Linked DNA regions of Schizosaccharomyces pombe. The protein of the gene in region 2 interacts with the protein of the main gene of each other region in a pairwise test. Each region holds a gene or a part of one and is shown on either strand. Other genes may lie near its edges.

What was found. The genes of interacting proteins can lie anywhere in the genome.
Region 1: the proteins of rpl3202 (region 2) and sum3 interact in binary tests that used the Schizosaccharomyces pombe proteins (3 or more experiments, as listed by UniProt).

What each region holds. Positions count from the first base shown.
Region 1 is NC_003421.2:973,491-978,520, reverse strand, and holds sum3 (translation initiation RNA helicase Sum3), read left to right. Parts: upstream 1-1,807; 5' UTR 1,808-1,849; coding exon 1,850-3,760; 3' UTR 3,761-4,522; downstream 4,523-5,030. Other genes in the region: protein SVP26, read right to left, coding at 397-1,080. UniProt on the Schizosaccharomyces pombe protein: ATP-binding RNA helicase involved in translation initiation. Remodels RNA in response to ADP and ATP concentrations by facilitating disruption, but also formation of RNA duplexes. Inactivation of ded1 blocks mitotic cell cycle progression at G1 and G2/M.
Region 2 is NC_003424.3:3,414,854-3,417,889, forward strand, and holds rpl3202 (60S ribosomal protein eL32), read right to left. Parts: upstream 1,204-3,036; 5' UTR 1,189-1,203; coding exon 805-1,188; 3' UTR 555-804; downstream 1-554. Other genes in the region: protein hob2, read left to right, coding at 1,869-3,036.

The sequences.
Region 1 (5,030 bases), on a different chromosome or scaffold from region 2:
ATTGATAAAATCGTTATGAACAAGACGTAAAAAACTCCGTTTCATATGAATATGAAAAGGCGTCATCTATTTCCTTTAAATGCATTTTCTACACGTCCGAGATGAAATTTAAGTCAAATTGACAATACAATTTCCATGTTGAAAAAAATAACAATAGGCAATCCTAAAGAACAACGACAAAACGTAAAAGAAGGATAATTTTGTTCGCTCAAACTGACCGAGAAAAAGTTAAAGTGTTGATGAAGAAAGTATGAAGAAAACTATATACAAAATAAAAGTCGAAAAAAAAAAGAGATGCAACATGTTGTGAGTAAATGATCACATAAGAAGTACAGACATTACAGTAAAGTTAAACGAATCCTTAATTTAAAAAGACAAGCATCCCTCAAACTCAACTCAGACGTAACGTTCACTTGAACGATCACTCAACCCCAAAGAGGTAAGACTACGTTCGACGAAGATACCTAACTTTTTATAAGCTTGTCGAAGTACATTCGACGTCCGACGAGATGATCCAGAAGAATAAGCATCAGGGGACGAGGAAGACGGGGTTGTAATGGTAGGAAGTGTATTGTCAGCAGCGGTAAAGGAAACAAAAATACCAATAGGAACAGACCATACGCATACCCCCATAAATGAAGCAACTTGTGAAAAGGAAGCACGAGAGGTCAAAAGGCGTTGACCAACAAAATCGTAAGTGAGTCCACGAGGTTTAATAGGGAATTCATGCACCTGGAAAAAGCGGACCCATAAGATATGATTCGCGACAATAAGGAAACATGCTAGCAAAAATCTCATTCTCTTAAATGAGAAGAAAGGAAAGGTATCAAAGTTGATTTTATAAATGTAATGACTGAAAATGGAGAATGCCGAGAGCCAAAAAGGAAAACCATCAAATATAACCAAAAACACCATTACCGCCATAATAAAATAAACCAACCGACATAAAAACGCCTTTGCGAGCCTAGAGTGCTCTTCTACAAACTCTGAAATGTAATACAAAGCTGATGCGATACTCACGGTCATGCCTATGAATCCCAAAACGATACCCAAGTACGACAGAGCATTAAGGACAATCATTTTGAAAAACGCTTTTAATTATGTCGTATCTAATAATCTTAACAAATGTGATTTTCTTTGGACTTCTTCAATATAGATAAATATGTTCGGATTTGTCGAATAAATACGGTTTTAATGCACAGCACCGCTTACAAAGCTTCTGCCTAAAGGTTTTAGCAATTTCTTAAGTTGCAAGGCACAATAAAAATATCAATTTCTATATTTTGTAGTATTGGTTGGTATGGGAAGACAGCAAAACCATGGCTGGTACTCCTGAATATCACTACGACCTTAAACAGAAAGCAAACTGTATGCTAATAATTGTAAATTTGAAAGTTGAATTTTCTTATTCCAATTAAAATGATTAATATGTATACTAAGTCTGCTATTTAGAGACGAGCATAACGGTGGTTTTTAGTTTTGGTGAGTGGCAATCGTGTACCTACATTACGGTGCCTAAATGTTTAGTTATATAGATTATAAATATATTTATATAGTAAAACCTTTCAATTAATTTTTATTCTTTAACGTAGTCAGATGATAGCACGTGTACTGACTTAAGGTTTCAAAAAAACTATTAATACCCATACATATTGGTATCAAAATTAACTAAAAAATAATTTTAAATTGTTTAAATGACTTTTTATCCTTGTTAAAAATTGTTTTCGTTGACATATCTAATTTGCTGAGGGGTTAAAAAGGGCAGTCCCATCGTGTATTTGGTAGCATTTAATGGCCAACTTAACCTAACCTCAACCAAACACTTCAACTCAGAAATACAAAAAATATTATGAGCGACAATGTACAGCAACAAGTAGATTCAGTTGGTTCTGTGACTGAAAAATTGCAAAAAACAAACATCAGCAGACCTAGGAAGTATATTCCTCCTTTTGCTAGGGATAAGCCAAGCGCTGGCGCAGCTCCAGCTGTTGGCGACGATGAGTCTGTCTCATCTCGTGGCTCTTCTAGGTCTCAAACTCCTAGTGAGTTTTCCTCTAACTATGGAGGTCGCCGTGAATACAATCGTGGCGGTCATTATGGTGGTGGCGAGGGCCGCCAAAATAATTACCGTGGCGGTCGTGAAGGTGGTTACAGCAACGGCGGTGGTTATCGTAACAACCGTGGATTTGGCCAATGGAGAGATGGTCAACACGTTATCGGAGCCCGTAACACTCTTTTGGAGCGTCAATTATTTGGTGCCGTTGCTGATGGTACCAAAGTTTCAACTGGTATTAACTTCGAAAAGTATGATGACATCCCTGTTGAAGTTTCCGGTGGAGATATCGAGCCTGTTAATGAGTTCACTTCTCCTCCTTTGAACTCTCATCTTCTTCAAAACATTAAACTCTCTGGCTACACTCAGCCCACCCCAGTTCAAAAGAACTCCATTCCTATTGTCACATCCGGACGTGATTTGATGGCCTGTGCCCAAACCGGTTCCGGTAAGACTGCTGGTTTCTTATTCCCTATTCTTTCTCTTGCTTTCGATAAAGGACCTGCCGCTGTTCCTGTTGATCAGGATGCCGGTATGGGTTATCGTCCTCGCAAAGCCTATCCTACCACCCTTATTTTGGCTCCCACTCGTGAATTAGTTTGTCAAATTCATGAGGAATCTCGTAAATTCTGTTACCGTTCTTGGGTGCGTCCCTGTGCTGTTTACGGTGGTGCCGATATTCGTGCTCAAATCCGCCAAATTGACCAAGGTTGCGACTTGCTTTCTGCTACTCCTGGTCGTTTGGTTGATTTAATCGATCGTGGTCGTATTTCTTTGGCCAACATTAAGTTTTTGGTGTTGGATGAAGCTGATCGTATGCTGGATATGGGTTTCGAGCCTCAAATTCGTCACATTGTGGAAGGTGCTGACATGACAAGCGTTGAAGAACGTCAAACTCTCATGTTTTCTGCCACTTTCCCCCGTGATATCCAACTTTTAGCTCGTGACTTTTTAAAGGATTATGTCTTCTTGAGTGTTGGTCGTGTCGGTTCCACTTCGGAGAATATTACTCAAAAGGTCGTACACGTTGAAGATTCTGAAAAGCGTAGTTACTTGCTTGATATTCTTCACACCTTACCTCCTGAGGGTCTTACCTTGATCTTTGTAGAGACTAAACGCATGGCTGACACACTTACCGACTATTTGTTGAATAGCAACTTCCCCGCAACAAGCATTCACGGTGACCGTACCCAACGTGAGCGTGAGCGCGCTTTGGAATTGTTCCGCTCTGGCCGTACTTCCATTATGGTCGCTACTGCCGTCGCCAGTCGTGGTTTAGATATTCCCAATGTCACGCATGTTATTAACTACGATTTACCTACTGACATTGATGACTATGTGCATAGAATTGGTCGTACCGGTCGTGCTGGTAACACTGGTCAAGCTGTTGCGTTTTTCAACCGTAACAACAAGGGTATCGCTAAGGAATTGATTGAGTTGTTGCAAGAGGCCAATCAAGAGTGCCCCAGCTTTTTGATCGCCATGGCTCGTGAAAGCAGCTTTGGTGGTAATGGACGTGGTGGCCGTTACAGTGGTCGTGGTGGTCGTGGAGGCAATGCTTATGGTGCTCGCGACTTCCGTCGCCCTACTAATAGTAGTAGTGGTTATAGCTCTGGCCCTAGCTACTCTGGATACGGTGGCTTTGAAAGCCGTACTCCTCATCATGGTAACACTTACAACAGTGGTAGTGCTCAATCCTGGTGGTAAATTTCCTAAAAAAATATTTTTATTGGGTTACGTGCATCTGTGTTATGCACAGGCTTCTGATGATTTCCTTTAGTCAGAGGCCGAAGTATTGTGTCCATTGTTTTGCTGACATTTGCAAAGCGCGAGGATGTCAGAAAGGGCGAAATATTTGGCTTTAATTAACTGTGATTGAGTGAGTTGCACGAAACGTCTTTTGTTTAGGTCCGGTTTTTTTCATTTTTAAGCTGGGCTTGGACGGATGCTCATTGGGTGTGCTTTTTAATCGTTGCGGTTGTGGAAGCGTTATGTAAAAACGATCCGGCAAAATTTAGTATGCGGTGTTGTGTTTTATTGCATAATAAGATGAGGCGAAAGTTTCAGAAGTCAATGCGTGCATGATTTATTCACGGGACTTTTTAAATAGAATATGCATATTTGAAACATTTGCATTGACGAAATGGATGTACGAATACGACGGGCATACAAAATGACATATATTATACATATTTTATATATATCTATTGATATGTTGAAAATTTCTACAGGCTTTGAGCTCATGATTTTAAAAATCAATGATGGATCTTTTTTTACGAGTCTGTGTTTCTTTTTTTCGAGAGAACTTGGAAATAGGTTAGTGTCTCTCTTTTGTTGGATTGTGGTTCTTGGGTAATATTTCTTTAGGAAAAGGTTTACGATTCTGCAATTTGTAATAATAGGATGCGCGCTAGAGCAAATTAATAAATTTTATTGCAATAATAAACTATACACATGTTATTAGGCAAATTAGTTATTAGTAAAATTAAGGAATGTAATTAGTGATATGTACAGTCAGAAATACTAGAAATATATACGAAAGATTAAGTAACGCAGCTACAATGATCACTGATACAGAAAGTATTTAAGGGTCTAGTTGGACTAGACAATTGTTTATTTATTGTGTCGCAGTAGTCACAATCAAAAGAAATAATTAAATAAAAAATTAGAAATAAATGGTGAACCACTTGGACCTATATGCTTTGACGACATACATATTAATAAGTGAGGACAATGTCAAGGGTAACTTAAGTAAATGTTGAAGAAAAATGCTTGATGATTATGTTTTTACGTTCTCAATTAAATAAGTAACTTTTCAATTAATTGAAAAACGAATATTAATGAGTAACCATGACTAGGATTAAAAGAATAAACAACCATACTTAAACTTAGTATTCAATAGATTGTTGAGATTAAAGAGAACAAAAATTAAGGAAACAGATCACAGCACAATTTCATCAAAAAATTGCAATTTTTC
Region 2 (3,036 bases):
TTTAATGTTTGAGGGGCTGACGACCCTCCTAATCTGCTTAGTAAAGCAGTTTTGAGTAATAAAAAAGAGAATTTATGTCAAGCAAGAACAAACCAGTTTAATGGATTAGGATATAAGAGTGCTCGATGGCAAAACATTTATCGAAAAAATTATGTAGGAATCCAAAAAACCTGCAAATCCAGCGTCCTCCAGCTCAGATCAGCGCTAAAATATGTAAAGTTTTTGAAAAATGAAATGTTGTCATCCACTGAAACACTTTCTAATTGATCTTTGGTACTTTAAATCAAAACCAAAGACAACGTTAAAAAATATACAATGTAACCAAGGATGAAAAGAAAAAAGTTTGAAGTTGAAGGTTTAAATGGACAAGATGAGGTTTGAAGTTATAAGTTAAAGTAGACAGCTTCATGTTCGAATAGTCTAGATATACATTTGCAGAGATAAGCTTAAACAGATCTGAAAAAATTTGTCCCGAGTAGATGCGTTTGAATACATATTTGATGTGTTTGAACGAAATATAAGAATAGTTCTCAATTAAATAAAATATTAATGATATACGTTTAAACGGTTTGAGAGCCAAATGATCTGTTTCAGAACTCTTCGTTCATCTTATCGAATGCAGAAAAGCTAAATGAAAACGACTGCGTCACGTTTAACCATTTTTTTTAAAAGTGAGAAACTTTTTAAATTAAACTGTGAAAGGGAAATTTCGCTTAATAAACTAAAAGTTATCAACGATTATACAAAGAGTTTTTTTCCAATACCAAAGTACTTTCATTAACTGTACTAAGTCGTGATTCTAATTTACTCCTGAGAGCGAACCTTAGCACCGGCATTGGTGACCTTTACACCGAGAGCACGAGCCTTTTCAACAATTTCAACACGCTTACGAGCAGAGACGTTACCAGCAATCTCAGCAGCATAAGTCTTGTTATGCATCAACAAGAGCTCAACATCTGAAACGTTACGGACTAGGAAAGCCTTCAATCCATTAGGCATGCAGTATCTGGTCTTCTTGTTATTTCCATAACCAATCTTGGGCATGGAAATGGTGCCACGGAAACGACGACGAACACAACTATCAATACCTCTGGGCTTTCTCCATGATTCTCCAACACGCTTGAAGCGGTCAGACTGATGGCGCTTGAAGGGCTTGGTGCGCTTCTTGATGATATTGACAGCAGCCATTTCTGTTGTGTGGGTGGAAAAGTTAGCACTTGTGTTGTGAGTGTGTTTTGGAACGAACGTGACTGCTTTTTATGGGGATGGTAGCTGAGTTTTCATTTTTTGCGCTATAGTTCCCAGATTTGACATGTTGAAAAAGAAGTTAATAATATCTCTATTTAAATGATCAATAACATTATAAAACTAATCATTCTTCATTTTCATTTCTGTAATATCCCGTATTTAGCTTTGCATATCAAACTGATTGCTTTTCTTCAATGTTTCCTCCGTAACGCGAAATTGTTTCACTACCTTTAAATACCGAGCTTTTTGTAAGATACGCAAAACATACTTAACAAATTGAAAAATAACGCACACATCCCTCTACTTTGATAATAAACTTAAAAATGTATGCGCTACATATCGATATAATATTTAACGGTTTCCTCAAGCGACTTCAATTTCCGATCCACGTGGCCGTTAATCCCTAAACTTGTTTAGTCAAGCGACTACCGCTCTCGCTGATCACTGACATAGCGTGTACCTTCCCGCCTCTTCCCGCTCAGTTGGATTTCTTCGTTACACCAGCTTTATTTTACACAGTTTCCTTTCTCCTCCCTCCTCTCCGTTTCTGCAATTTCCTTACCTTTTCATTAAAGGAAAAACGACAAACTTATAGTAATCTCTATGTGTTTACATACTTGATGAACCCGTTGTTTCCTTTTTCCTTGCTTAATCCATCAACGATGTGGTCGTCCTCGCAAAACACTTCATTCGTTTGGGTGGTGATAGCGACAGGTTTCCTTTTTCATTTGGTTCTTTTTGTACTGTCATACGTGCTGGGATGGCCCTTTACAAATTTTGGATTCTTCTCCGTGTATGGCCTACGACACACGTTCCGTAATGGAGACTCGGTTTTCATCTCGTATGTGGCACTTCGTCTGCATCGTCCTTCTACTTCCAAGCCCTATTTACTGCGCATTGTAACCAAAGGCTTGATTTATACTCCATCACTTTCCAGTGCTAATGATGCACAATCGGCTGGTAAGAATGAGAACCAAAGATCTCGATTGGTGTTTAAAGCAAAGCGTGAGGAAGAAAAAACGGAGGAGAAATTTTGTCATGCCGTTTACATGTCTAACTTACTTCGCAATGTGGAGCAAAAATGGATTCAGTTTCTTCACAAATCTTGGATGAAATGGCTTCACATTAGTATCCAAGAATCTCAATTGACATTTCCCTCTGTAGGAACATTCGAGTTGGGCAGTCTTTCGATGGAAATGCGTCCTGAAACCAATAATGTCGTTGGATATGAAAATCCGTCTGATCCCGAACTTGTATCCTCCTGCGTAATTTGTAGCATTCGCTTGGCAAACCTGGTTTACATTGACCGCCGGCAGAGCAGTCAACAGATTACCGATTATTTGGACTTAAGCTTACAAACCTATTACTCTTTAGATAAATCAAACGTTCCTGACACGATTCTGCGTCTTCGTTCTTCCATCAAAGTGGGTGTGTTATATATAGATCTAGATACTCCACTTTTTGAGCATTTGTTAAATTCAAATTCTTCCGGAGGAAATCATTCTTCCTCCTCCTCCTCCTCTGGAAAAGTTCATGTGATGAAGGATAATGTTGAAGCGGCCTTATTAAAGTTACAGGAAGCTCAAATCCAGATCGGTACATTGAAGCTTTGGAAGAGAAATGTAACGGGATGTGGAGCCACCTATATCTTAAATGGTAGTGATTTTGGACTGAATTTGATTTTACTGAACAAAAAGAATCCTTCCCACAGAATGTTTTTCCCCGTAGAGGCATGTGTTCATCAAATTTTAGCCTCTGCTTTGTCTTTCAACGTCGAAAGTATCACTC